2 linked regions of the Alligator mississippiensis genome follow. The protein of the gene in region 2 binds, or shares a complex with, the protein of the main gene of each other region. Links are inferred from orthologs where the notes say so. Each region holds a gene or a part of one and is shown on either strand. Other genes may lie near its edges.

Evidence for each region.
Region 1: the proteins of SNTG1 (region 2) and TRPV3 are in contact, whole or in part, in a crystal structure (PDB 7QQN), measured with the Homo sapiens proteins. The link is inferred for Alligator mississippiensis from reciprocal best matches to the Homo sapiens genes SNTG1 and TRPV3. Residues at the interface, in NP_001274742.1 of Homo sapiens: Arg62, Gly66, Gly67, Phe68, Gly69, Leu70, Ser71, Ile72, Lys73, Gly74, His78, Ser85, Lys86, His118, Glu119, Val122, Arg126; in NP_659505.1 of Homo sapiens: Pro786, Glu787, Thr788, Ser789, Val790.

What each region holds. Positions count from the first base shown.
Region 1 is NC_081837.1:2,417,058-2,424,374, reverse strand, and holds the start of TRPV3 (transient receptor potential cation channel subfamily V member 3), read right to left. Parts: upstream 3,037-7,317; 5' UTR 2,864-3,036; intron 2,495-2,863; 5' UTR 2,402-2,494; coding exon 2,388-2,401; intron 1-2,387. UniProt on the Homo sapiens protein: Non-selective calcium permeant cation channel. It is activated by innocuous (warm) temperatures and shows an increased response at noxious temperatures greater than 39 degrees Celsius. Activation exhibits an outward rectification.
Region 2 is NC_081826.1:76,377,439-76,384,775, forward strand, and holds the start of SNTG1 (gamma-1-syntrophin), read right to left. Parts: upstream 3,011-7,337; 5' UTR 2,859-3,010; intron 1-2,858. UniProt on the Homo sapiens protein: Adapter protein that binds to and probably organizes the subcellular localization of a variety of proteins. May link various receptors to the actin cytoskeleton and the dystrophin glycoprotein complex.

The DNA.
Region 1 (7,317 bases), on a different chromosome or scaffold from region 2:
ACACAGATGTTCAATTAAAATGTGTTGAGGTTTGAAGTTTCTATTTTGGACTATTTTTGTGTAAGTTATTTTTCAACAAGAGCAGTATTAGAGGTGATATGATACCACCATTAGGAAAACTAGGAAGTCAGTATTTAATTGAAGGGAGTCTAGCCATTTATATTACGACAGATATTGAGAGTAATAGGAGGAACAGAGTAACTTTGATAAACTGCACTGGTGGTTATGCAGCCCTGCTAAATCTAAAAAGTCTATTCATATTTCAACCAATATAGCTTTAGAAAACCAATAAGTTCCAGCAGACTAGCAATATTAAATCTACTGGGTGCAATATAGGAAGGCTGGTGTCACACTAAAACTACTGTGTAGATAAAGGCAGAAATCTTTGCACAGTGATGGAAGAAGAGAAGAGAATCAACCTCTGAGCAAGTTTAGTGACTTCTGACACCAGTGGCAGAACTCAGCTCAAAATTTACCCTTTTATGGTAACTACCAGGGACTCTTGGGCCCTGGTTCAACTGTAACAAAATGAGCGGATAGACAAGAAAAAAAGTCACGATTGCCACTGGTGAATGGTACGACATTACACGTGATTTAAGACTTCAATGCGGGACTTAAACTGAAGTCTTCTTGTGCTGGAAAATGTTGGTTTAAAAAACAAAAAAAAAGGAGAAATAAAACATTTTGAAAATGTATGCTGCTAATATGCATGTTTACAGGATGAACCAGAAGCACAACTCAGAAATGTGTACCATTTAAATAATTATCACCAATAAAAAAAATTGCAATTCTTGCATAGAATTCAGAAGGTCACAAAGAACGCTGCTAGGTGAGGTCCTATAGGGAATAACAGGAGGAAATAAGGGTGGAGACAAAAATTGGAGCCAAAATAAGGAAGGTGATTTAGTGGAAGAGGAAGAATGGAGGGACGACGATGACGTCAGGACGCAGTTGTATGCAGAATAGGTGGGATGAGACAAGACACAAGGAGACAGCTATGGTCGAGATATATAGTTCAAATGTGAGGAATGGCTCAAAAGTAAGCAGTGAGAGGACACAACTAGTGCAAGGACATGAGAGGCCGAAGGAGGGAGGTGGTCAAAGCACACGCTGAGATTGCACTCCCATTTAAAGGCAAGCAGAAAAAAATAGAGCCTTAAAATATGCCCCATAGAGCCCAATGCTCATCTTCAGTATACCTCTACAAATCCCACTGAAATCAATGAGTTTAATGTACACATTATTAACTTGGAGATGCCCCTCTTCAATTTCTCCCTTAGTGTTACTGGGGTAATGACTGAGTGCTTTGGTCCAATTGCCATGCAGGACATGGTAGGCAACCATCAATCCTCTGGATCGCGCTGTATGTGTAAGAGGTCCTGTTAGCCTGATAAATCTGTTTTTACTGAGTCCTACGACCATCACACAAAGACCTTCAATGTGCACGCCTAGGCATATGTTTATAAGCACGATCTCTAACTTCTGACATTTCTGCAGTCTATAAAGTTATTTGAGATGCAGTTTGTATAATCTGATACAGGATGTGTTCTAGATTATCTGAACAATATCTTTTCTTTTGGTCCCACCATCTAGTCTATCATTACTGTATAAGAGACTACTATGATGGCCTATTTGCAGGGGTTAATGTACTAATAAAAATGTCATGCTAGCTCTTAGTACTAGAGAGTAAATTGAAATGGGCTGTGAGTATATTCAGAATATAAGACATAGCTCTGATACAGTAAGTACGAGAAAAGGGCATTATTATTCTGGAACTTGGTTGTGCCACCCTTACAGTGAGTTGTTGCTCACTTTGCAAGTTGTCACAGACAGACCTAATGCTCATCTAATACCAATACAAAAAAACCCAACTTACTGACCCATTACAATTGAACAATCATCATAGTTCAAATTAAGAAAAAAATATACAAAGAGAAACAAACAATGGGCCAATGTGAAATGATGGACTTTTCTTTTTAGGTTCCTGGAAAAAAATAACTGAAGTAATTTCTATTTATTCTTTTTTTTTTTAATGTAGATTTTCTAAAGGAAAAATGAGAGTAACCCTCTTATGTTCTTTATGTCCAATTTTTGTGTGTACCTAGCAAAGGCTAGTCAGGGTCAGCAATAGAACAGAAGAGCAATTCTCTGTACCCCATGAAGACTTTACAGACAGAAAATCTACCACATGAAAAAATGTCCCTTTTCATTTTCCTTGAAATGATTACATATTTCTCTTCGAAGGAAGTGTCATGGGGGCTTACAGTAGCAGGCCCAAGGAGCTACATGAAAAGCTCATTTGTTTTCCCGGCAGAATCCAGCATGAAAAGTACCAGTTCCTTCCCTGGGGGAACATGCTGCAGGAGCATCCGCTGTGCCCGACTCACCCAGCACTGTACATGGCCCCGCACTCGAGAACCTCTACAGGACCTCATCCGACTGCTCCTCATTGCATCGCACCAGGCATCCCCCCTCTGGCAGGGATCAACACTGCCTGTGGTTTCAGAGGAAGAGGAAAGCATGCTTAAAATGCAGTTTTGTTTGAGGTCCTTCTTGCCAAGGAATGTTGGGAGACTATTTCACTAGCACAAATTATCATTCACTAACACCAATATTCATGGAAGTCCCCGTACCTGTTTCACCTCTGAAAACACCCAGTGTTAATGATTCTCATGTCACATAGCCCTTGGAAAAAATGAGTTAAATTTCTCTCACGCACCCCCCACCCCCCACCCCCAAAATACCCCTTACTTCATAAAAACAAAAAATTACCACCATTTTAAGGTTCTCCTAGACCCTCTATTGTCCCTTTGGACATCAAAGTACACTTTCCATCACAGTACACTATCCAGAAGCAACTTACCCCAGTTCAGAACACTTGCATTCATGTATAGGAATGGGTCCTCAATGTTGTGAGACATTCAAGTGCTGCTATTATATCCAAAAACATGAAGCTGCCCAGCACAACAAACTCTTGAATCTCAGGACAATCCTAAAAATGCAAGGCACCCACCCAGCGTCATCTAGTTTGCTTGAGTGTCATTTCTATGTATTAAGTTAGTACTAAAAGCAGCAACATCACCGAGCTGGTTACACCTGAAGTTACACGTCAGAGAGACAAACTTGCTAGACAACAATTTCCTTACCACACAACTGACAAAGTGGGATGATAAGACACCACCAATAATTATGAATTAAAAAGTGTTGCTGATAAAGTTGAGTCATGTTATAATGAGGTAATGACAGTGGCAGAATACTTAAAAGGATCATACAGCCTTTGTCATTTCTTCATTAGAAAGAACCCGGTTGCAGACATATACGTTGATACTTTACACCACATTTCTCTGGCATGCCTAGTGTGTTGCATACCTATTTATAAATATAAAGCAAAAATGAAAACGCTCCAAATATGAGTGAGGAAGCAAAAATGTGTGTTAGATATTACTTTGAGAAAGTAAAAATGAGTTCAGAAAGTCCTGTCAAAGGTACTGTATGTGTTTGAAGTCTGCACTGCCATAAAAGCGATTCAAAGAAGCTGTACCTTTAGGGTTTATGAAGATATGTGAATAGACATGCTTTATATTGGCAACGGTGATTTCATTTTTGGTGGGCCAAGTAAATTGAATGGGATTTTCTCTTAAGCAGCTGAGTGATTATTAATGCAATAGACTTCTTTCCTCTGGCCTTTAAGAGCGTGATCAAGAATTTCTCTCTCCTTCTGTTAATAGGATGTTACCTTTATCAAAAAATAGCGCTTGTAAAAGTTGGTAGGTCTGTGTAGCCTGGAATATATTTAGGATTGCATATGATTATCTTAATTGATATGACAAATTGACTGGGGGTTTGGAAGTAGTGGATTTATCCCACTGGGCCTAATAAAAACATTCTCAGGTCACAAGGGAGAACAGAAGGCAACAGAAATTTGTGGGCAAATAAATCAAGGAGAGTGTTTTGCTGTCTTTCATATCCAGATTCTGTACGAAGCTCTGTTATAGAATCGGGCATTTGGGGCTTGAAGCGTGACTGTACAGCTTTATTCAGAAGCATGTTATGGAAGGAATGAGATTAAACTAGATGGGGCTGCATCTCAGGACTTCTGCTATTTTGCAAAGGTCTGTAGCTCTCCTAATATGTTTTTAAATAATAAAGTGACTATGGTTAAAGTGTTCCTTTGCTGATGCTCATCTTCCTCACTTCCCTGCCAGGTCACCTCCAAGGGAGCTGCAGTGCACAAACCCAGGTTGAATTCGACCTGTTACTATGGTCTCAGGGCATCTGAGGCCCTGGATTTTGAGACCAAGGCAGCCGGGCTGAGGAAGGAGCGTGCGCCTGGGAACCACGACTAGACTGTACCCAGACGAAGGGAACTGAGAAGGGATCGAATAGTTGCACCCACTTAGCAACTGACTGCTGTCCAGTCCACCCAGAACGGGGGACTGGGCTAGGCTGCCGCAAGGAAAGGCCTCGTTTCCACCCCATCGGTTATCAGAGATTGCAATGGCTCTAACCGTCTCCCACAGAACATCATCTTCTCTTTCCCCAGCTGCAGTGATGAAGTCGATAGGTAGATTGACTCCTGAGCTGAAACAGTTTGCTAGGGAACACTCAGATTTGGGGAATATATATTCTATATTCGTTCAGACTTGTCCTTCTGAGAGAGAAAGAGACTCGTTGGAAAAGGGCATTATTTGCCCCAGCCAAGATATTTAAAGAATAGACTCACGCAGGAAATGAGAGGCAGAGTTACACTTAGCGATGCAGTACAGGAAACATGTATAAATATTTTCTTATGGTTATTAGCCGAGACAGCTTAACCTTTTTGCTCTCAAGCCTGCTCTGAGATTTCACACACCATTAGCAGTACTAGTACACTATCCCACAAATGTCCATGCTGGCTTACAAAATTGGGCTTTATCTATATAATCCAAGGCAACCATGTTAGCACTAGTCTCAAGCCATTTGTTTAAACAAAAGTTCTCTAGAAAGGTGCTGACAAAAGTTTCCAATCTACCTCAGTGCAGAAAGGCGCCAACAAACAACTAAATGACATTATTCCTTTCAACCACTTAACAGCAACAATGCCATAAAGGTCAATGACAGAAGTAACTATGTACACGTCCCTTATGAAAAATTACTCTCAAATTTGTATCTTGAGATATTCTGTGTTGTAGAATTAGGGGCCTTGTGACCTTGTTTGGCCTACAACAGCTATTCTGGTTGTTCTGGGAAGTGAAGAGGATAGATTTAGGGACTACAATGAACAGACTGAATAACCAGGAGCCAAATCAGAAGTATGGAAACCCTGGCTTCCTAGATCAGGCGATCAGTGCTGTACTGTCAAGTCGCCTGTTCCACGACAGGATCCTAGCCAAACTCATGCAAAAAGAGGAAGTTTTTCAGACCATGAAGTTAACTCCCTGCTTTTTCTACCCCAAGAGGAACTCAGTAAAAAGGAAAAGCCAGTGTTTGAAAGGACATTTTTAACATGCATAGGTACCACTAAGTCATTTACAATTATCCTCAGAGTTTGTCAGTGTTTCATTCCCAAGAGCCCCCTCTTAGAAAGAACATACTTAAATTTAGCCTTTGGATTGGCTATGTTTAAAAGGGCCTCACTTTCCAAGCAACGTCACTGGTGGTCATTTTCCACTTCCTAGAATAATTGGCTTAACAGAGGTCTTTTTTTGGGGGGGGGAATTCTTCTATGAAAATGAGTTCGAGATTTTGGGTCTATCCTGAGAGGAAATCCACAAGAAAAGCTATCCAGCAGTTTTTTTTTAAACTGTTTACATTTTTTAATGCTGGTGGTATTATTTCCATTGCAGTAACCCCCAAAGGCCCATTATGTTAGGCATTATACAAACCACAAAATAAAGGCACTGTAATTTGCCTGTGGACTTTACAACTAACCTGAAACAGGACAGAAGGATGGAGCTGGAAAGCAGAAAAAGTGACAGCAGTGAGCTCGCGCTACGGCTTAGCTCGCTATAGGCACAAGTGGATGTTGTAATGCTTACAGACAGCCTTTCAAGGAACGAATGCTATGCTCAGTCCCATTCTCTGTGCCATCATTGTGAAAGCATGGCAGGACTGTGACTTTTCTTGATTTCATTAGCTTCATTTTCCACTGTGAAGTTGTTGGTGTTTGGAGTCCAGTTTCCTCAATAGACATCTCCTTGTAATACTGAGGGAGGGTCAGGTTACTGGTTTCTCCACTCCTTTAAAACAGCATACTGAATGGTTAAAAAGTCCATCAGGAGCACAGCTCAGTTATAACAGAATGGAGGACTTCTGCTGCAGCGTGGCTTCCTATTTTCATTAGGATGTCCCATGTGTCTGATGTGCGTGTGATGCAGATTCTGCTTTTCCCTAGCTGATATTTATTTGGGCTATATTGAAATAGGAGGAACATTTAACCCGTACCTGTATCACTGAGTCCCCTTACTGAATGAGGTACATGTTGTACATTGATATGTACTTTACCGATCTTCAAGAAACGCTGCCCCTGTGTGATTTCTAGACCCTGTTGAAAGCCACGCTACTTATTTGGCTATTTTCACTTGGAAGGGGAGAAAGTAAATGAGGTCTCTGAGAAATAATGATCTGGACTGAACTTGTTTTGATGTTATCGTGCTTTTGGACACGTACTTTGCATGGACTCCTCAAATAGGGAGTAGGTGACATCTTCCCAAACATCATTTCTGCAGTGAAAACAGTGGACACATGACTGTACATTAACTACCGCACTTCAGTTACTTCCTCTAATAAGATGCTCCCGTGGATCCCATGCTATCCTCATTATAAGATTATCTTCCTTGTACTACTCAACCACGCCCCTGGGATGGACTGCAGGGAATCACGTAGTAGTATGTTAAGGAAATACAATACAGAGTAGGGGATGGGATATGTTTGAGCATGTTCTTATTTACGAACACAGATCAAATTTTCAGGAATCTGCAACTTAAGCAAGGAGAGAGAAAGAAGTTAAGACAGCAGAAAGGCATTACTATGAATGCATTAATGCAAGTGGAAAGGTGGCAGACAGGAGTGGGTAATCTAGGAAAACCCACCCAGAATGGACTACAGGTAAATGAGGACACTTTGAGAGAATAAAGACAGGCATGGATGGAAGTTTGGGGCCAGATCTGATAAACTGATGTAATGAGAACTCTAGGGGCATAAAACAAAGCATAAGAAAAGGGATCTTTGCTAGAGAGAGCCAGCTAAGGACAACAACTAGAGCCTGTTCCTATGAAGTGGTTGTAGCTTTAACTACTTTGTGGGGATGGCTGCTTACAAAATGCTCCAGCATTGCCA
Region 2 (7,337 bases):
AATCTTTTATACCTATTAAGTATAAAACTTATCTTACACTTGAAATATTATTAGCATAAACTTGTCATAGCTCAAGAAATTAAGCGTGGTCTCACCTTCATGTTTTTTATGAATCAACTACATATTAAATCTGCCGACACTTTCTTCATGCCAACCTCTGATTTTTCAGACTTTCATAACAAAGCGCTACAATTAAAGAAGTTATGGTTGCTTCAGAGCCATTTCTGGGTTTATAAATAGTTTTGGCAGTTATCATTACCAGTGTCCCTGGCTCCCCTATCCCTTCACCGCAGATCCAACCTAGGACACTGGGCCATGTCCATGCAGGGGTGAGAGTAGAATCTCATGGGGCCAGATCCCCACAGTTTGGTTGCATCCAGACAAGTGCGGCTACGCAGTATGTAGCACCACAGACACATAGGTTTAGTGCATGACAGCCTGACAGCCGAGGGAGGGAAGGGATGTTGTTGGAGGGGAGGTGTGGAGAATGGGGAAGCAGAGTCTTTTGAAGCACCAGTCTGCTGGCCCTAAGCTATGACCTTGGGCTGCTGTCTCCCATAACCAGGCAGACAGGAGCCTGCAAAACATGATGGGATGTGTGGTTTGGGTCCCCCTGGCTAGGTCCTTTTCACATTGCAGGCTGGTCTGCAAAACATGCAGATCCCCTTTTCACTTATATGCAGTTTAAGCCATTTGGAAAAAAAAAATTCAACTGTTTGAATTTCAACTGCTGATGTTCAACTGGTTGATTTGAATGTTTGGACACAGACTTAGAAAAATCACATAGGAGTACTGCAGAGTTCACTACCAGGATCCCTATTTACAACATTTTATTAACAATCTAAATATCAGTCTATTGGAGATGTAGAAATCCCAGAAAGAAAGTACCAAGCTTGTATGCTACTTCAAAATAGGAAAGTAGATTGCACACAATGAAATGAGACTGCGTATTAGTCCATGTAAAGTCACATTGTACTATATGGATAAAGAAGGAAATACTAGTGACAGAAATTGAAAGGAAACTACTTGGAAAGTACTAAGCCCAGGAAAGAATGGGGAACAATAACAGAAAGCAAAACCTTAGTGTGTGCTACTAAAGCAAGGAAAATATAATAAGACAATAAAATCCAGCTCTGTTCTTGGATACAGATGCAGGTAATTTCATATAAAAGATGGAGATGACAGTGCTACTTTCCATAGCCCTGGGTAACAATATTTAGAATACTGTGTTGATTTCAGTTTTGGAAGAGGTACTATTGCAAGACTACAAAAATTCATCAGACAGCAATATGAATATATATGATTAGTAGTGAAGTGAGCCTGGGAGACTTTCAATGAAGCAAAAACTGGACCAAAATAAGTAAATTGAACATTTCCTGAACTAGTTTGCAAATTCAGATTCGGGGGGGAGGGGGAGGCAGGGGAGGGGGGGGGGAAGAGGGAAGAATAAAGAATAAACCAATAAAAGGCAAATGATCACTGTGTCCAAACAGATAACTCAAGTCTAACATGTGACATAACTGGGATAATTATATAAAAGAAGAAATATTTCCTCATATTTTTAGGAGATACAGCAATAGTTACAGAAGAAAAAATGCAGCATATGAATTAAGTATACTGCAAGTTACTAGTTATAATAAATAGGATGAAGGTAAAACATACTTAAAGGAGGGGGTCAGGATACCATCAGTGCAGATATTCATGAGTTGATTAGATTAAAAATGCATTAGCAGTCAAGATGAAATGTATCATTTCTTGAAAATGAAGGGGGTCAGACTGGATCACAGAGATAGCCTTTTGTGGCTTTGCATTATAAGATGCTAATTACCACCTTGATTATTTAGTGTATCGAGAAGCACACCTTCTATTCTATTCTATTTACTATGTCCAAGGCTGCCTTATTCCTTAACTGGTAAATTATTTGATTTTGGTGCAGTCTATATAAGCACGTATTATAGGTACAGTTTCCACTTAAAAACATGATCAACATGCCCAAGCATTGTTTTTAGAAATCTGAAAAAGACAAGCTGAATATTGACACAGTTTATAGAAAAGACTTTGGGGGATGGAGGGGAGAATCAGATCTCATGAATAAAGGCTGCTGTCAATTATGCATGACACAGATGCACGAGTCAGCATAGCTGTTCATGTTTTATGGAGTAGGTGCAAATTATTTCCTAAACTGCTAACTGCCACCCTCAGGTCCAGCCCTAAAGAAATCAATGGAGAGCATGAAAAGGAAGAACTCAAGTTTTACAGGGGTTTTTTCATGCAATTTCCTGTATCTACTTTTTTTTTTTAATTGACAAAATTCAAGTTGGTAGCATTCCTCTAAGGATCAAGTAAGACCTTTTAAATTAGACACAGAAATGCCACAAATGGATGAAATAGTTCTGGCATCTTCCATTACAATTTTTCTTTTCTCCACTGAGATTCAAACCCCCAAAAGCTGAAGAGCTGGAGTGTTTAGCTTAAGTGACTTCCTCCTGTTGCTTTTTATGATTCTGATACTTATGCATAACAACCTCTCCTCCCCCACTTCACTGGAGGGAGGATCAGGCAAGGGGGAGAGTTTTTAATAGCTTTTAATAGCTTATTGATTTCACAGGATATAAATATTTCTATGTGAGCACTACTGAATTACAAAATAATCTATAACTTTTTAAAGAAAAGAGAAACTCTTGGTATGGTACACAAGTATCTTAATAGACAATAGCAATAAAAATGGGAACGGAGAGTTTCATCTGACTTGAATATATGTTACAAAGTATTTTTACTGCTATCAGACAAGAAAACTAGAAATAGTGTAAGCAAGCAAAAATAATATAAGCTCCTTCACACCCCACTAGTAGCTGTACCTTATTAATGGGCTGAATGGACTGCACACTTGTGGTGAGAGGCCAGTTCATTCTTCTTGCGCTGTACCAGGAAATATGGGCAATCCATGCATGATCCATGGTTGTTGCAGTATGATACAGACATCAATCCAGTAGGAACCAGAGTGAATTAAACCATTCTTCTTCTTAGGCCCTCTCCACATGTTACTGCAATTGTGCAATTAACTGGTTAATTGGGCAATTAAACTGAGACCAGCTACACATGAAAAGTGCCTATCACACCATAAAAGGGTCCAACCAGCTATAAAGTTAGACCTAAAAAATGTGTACTAACTTTATAGCTGGTTGCTATTCAGCTTTAAATTTGCATATCTAGCAGGGTATCCCCTGCAGCCACAGGGGTGCACCATGCCCAGCTGAGGCTGATGGGACTCTCAGCCCTTGCAGTGCCCAGCAGCTGCAAGACTCTGGGTCCTGGCAGCTGCAGGGTGTGACTGTAAGCTTCCAGCCCCAAGCATCCATAGTATGCCCCCATAGCTGGGAGATCGTAGAAGCTGTGATCTCCTAGCTGTGAGAATCATATCATGCTCCCCATAACTGGGTAGTCATAGTCCCACCGCTGCTGGAACTCACAGCCTTGGCTACATCCCACACACCAGGGCTGCAAGTGCCCTACTTGCTGGTATAAAGGGATCCCAGGAACATGATCCCAGGTCCCCCTGTACAGCAATAAGGTGTGATAGGATCTTAATCTGGATCCCACAATCACGCCTCCTGTCATGCAGAAGGATCACATTTTAGATCCTATATTGTGTGGACCACAGATTAGATCCTATTGTGCTTTTACATGCATGTGTAGAGGAGGCCTTATGCCACATAAAAACTCATCAGATAAAAGCATTGAGCCATTACCAGAAGCCAAATAGAATAAGTGAAAAATTCAATTGACTAATGAAAAGCTCAGGTGCTAAATCAAAGGGCATCTCTTATCAATTCATCATCAATACTTTTTAAGTTTATGAGCTTCCAAGGCAAGCCAAATATTTATTTCTCTGTCAGAACAAAATGAAAACACAGGGCTCTAACTTGAAGAAGGTAGAGTACCAGTTCAAACTCATCATCAGTAAATGTAGTTTGTCTTTTATTACCTTTTCGTACTGTTCTACCAGACCAGGACTGTCTGATAGACCCAAACATGAACAATAAAAAGGTATTCAACCTTTTCTTAGGCATGTAAATTCTATAAAGTCTATAAGAGACTTCTGAATAAGTAGAATGAAAAGGATCTGTCTACAGCAAAATTGGTAATGAGTGAACTCAAGGTGGCTGCTGGTCAATTTTGCAGGCAGATTAGGGCTGGCAACCATTTTCATGGCCAAGTGAGGCAGCCCCCCCCCCCCTTGTGTCTTATTGACCAAGGGCCCGAGTGGTCTTCCCCCTCACCATTGATTGGCTGCAAGGGCTGTCTATCATACAGCCCTGACCCTCACCCCTCCCAAAGGGAGCCAGCTTTTTATTATTGGTAAATTCCCCCCACCCCGCTCCAGGGAGCCTGCCAAAAGCACAGAGCCTTCACTTTATCACAGAGCCTACCCAAAATCTCAGTGTCCATGAAAATTACAAAATTGCAATTTTAGTAAGTCCCTAGGAATTAGCTCTCAGAGGATATTAAATTTGTCATGGTCACAGATTTAGGACTACGTAAGCTAAAGGAATAAACTGGTTTACTATCAAACAGCAGATTCCTGTTGAACTTCCCAACACCATCAGCTATTTATTGTTGTGCCACATTAACAATAAAATGATGGATTTAAAAGGTCTTAGAATGTATTCTATTTCTAATTGGAATCAAAGCTATTAAGATCTGAGACCTCTTCAAGTCACGTTCACTGATAAGAAAGCTCATCATCCTCAAAGAACATAATGAATAAATATGTATAAGCAATTGTTGAAATATAAAGCTGTTTGCTCCAGTTTGTGACAAATAAGAGTCCTAGATATTTTTGAGTCATAAATGCTCAGTACAGTTTTCATTTGAGCATAGCTTGAGTTTAAGCAAAGTCTGGGTGAACCAGCAAATGGACAGATTGTTGTAGATCTAGAAGCTGAAATAGACTGGGATGGAGATGAATTTTTTGCATCTTTGATAAAAGTAGTTTTACTTCAGGTTTTCCTTATTCATCCTGATTTAGCCATAGTAGTGTAACAAAGGAGACATAGATAGGAAGGACAATAGGGCAGCAACCCCAGGTGCCACCTTCATGGGGGGCACAGAAATAGTCATTCCTGTAGGTAATTGCACCACTTCTATTGGCTTGGTGGCAGCTCATGCTGCCCCAGATGTCGTGGCTGACCTAGGTACAGAGCTGCCCTGCTGCACCTCTGTTCAGTCATATTTATGGATATAGAGGAAACTGATATTTATTATAATTAGTTAACCTCACATCCAGAAATAAATCTCAAGACCACAGGAAGGTAAGTATAGGTAATGACAATGTGGAAAAGGTAGAGAAATAAGGAGCAATAATCACTGAGATCAATCAAAAAACTGAAGAAAAAAAAATCAAGGGAAGAATGTACAGTGCTCATATATGCCTGTTAAGCTTGGTTAAAATAATGGTGTCTAGGACTTAGAGTAAATTAAAGGTGAAGACTCTGTAGCTGAAGGAACGTCCTGATTATAGGGCTCTGACTTAGAAGCAAATAGCAACTTACAGCCACATTGCATATTACACTTAGCATGTATTAAATGCACTTAAAAATGAGAGTAACCCCATGTTTAACCAGTAAAACATTCTAAGTGTTCTCACATTGTAGCAAAGTCCCTATTTTTTGCACAAGGAGCATCTCCAAATCATATTAAATATTATGCATTTGACCAACACTAGACTGTTCCACAGAGATAATAAGCAATCTACAGTCCTCACTAAGCCATAATATCAGCCATGGATCCCTCTGATGTACCAAGCCTCTAGATAAGACAAGGAAAGTCACATGTCAAGGGTAAGAATCCTGGATTTTTTACTTGTCAGATTCTTCCAAGATCACATGGAAAGCCAGGTGCTTTCAACTCCAGAAGGTCCCAGGGCAATCAGCTGATCATTGGTAACAGTCCTGGCACCATACCATACCACACCATAGCTGGTTCAAGACTCCAGTAAGGTACGGGGCTGGGACTAACAATCAGCAAGCTGTGCATGACACAGATCCTAGTAAACAGTACCATGTGACTGATCAGAACACAGTTTTAACACTAAGGGCATTTACAGATTTGCTCTGGGAGGCGGCGGGGTGGAGGTGCTTTAATTCGTGTGGTTCCAAGAACTTGACACCATTGCTCCTTGTTCTGTCATCTTCTGTCATGAAGAACAATCTAACTCCATTCCTTTTGAAACCCCGCTTCAGGTAGTTGAAGGCTGCTATTAAACTCCTTCTCAGTCTTCTCTTCTGCAGACTAAATAAGCCCAGTTCCCTCAGCTTCTCCTCAGAAGCCATGTGCCCCAGCCCTCTATCCATTTTCATTGGAGGTTTTTAAGGCCCAGCTTGACAAAGCCCTGGCTAGAGTCATCTAGTTGGAGATGGTCTTAATTTGATCAGGTGATTGGACTAGATGACCTCCTGAGGTTCCTTCCAACTCTAAGTTTTTCCAACTCTAAATCTTCTATATCAAGAGCCTTGCTAAAGTCAAGGTATATCATGTCTGCTGCTCTTCCGACATCCACAGAGCTAGTCATCTCATCATAGGCCATCAGGTTGGTCAGGCATGACTTGCCCTTGGTGAATCCCCTTGGGACTCGGAGCGGGGGGGCAGCAAAGGCACCAGTCGCAGGGCTCAAGTGCCTATATACTAATGCAGGATGAACTAGCGCTCCTGCTTGCACTAAACACCTATGACTTAGTGGGGCTAACAGAGACCTGGTGGGATTCATCCCATGACTGGGCGGTACATATTGAGGGCTATAGATTGTACAGAAAGGACAGGTCGGGGAAGAAAGGGGGGGGGGTTGAACTTTATGTCAGTGAGCAATATACATCAACCCTCATCAAGACAGAATCCGAGGTTGAGGAAGTAGAAGGATTGTGGGTTAGGCTACATGGGGGGCAAGGAGAAAGGGATTTGGTGGTAGGGGTCTGCTCCAGACCTCCACACCAAGGGGAAGAAATAGATGCGGGGCTCCTGAGGCAGCTCTTGGAGACCATAAAAGCTAAAGAGGCGGTAGTCATGGGGGACCTAAACTACCCGGACATCTGCTGGGAGACGCAGACAGCAAGGTCCCATCGCTCACGCAGGTTTCTAACCTGTGTACAGGACCTCCACCTGACACAGGAGGTGCATGGTCCCACTAGGGGGAATGCCATACTGGATCTGGTATTGGCAACAGGGGATGACATGATAGGGGACCTCCAGATCGGTAGCCATTTGGGAGACAGTGACTGTGGCAGAAATGCCACCGTGGGTGCCCCTCTCCAGAGACCTGTCTCAGCCAGCCTGGGAGGCTG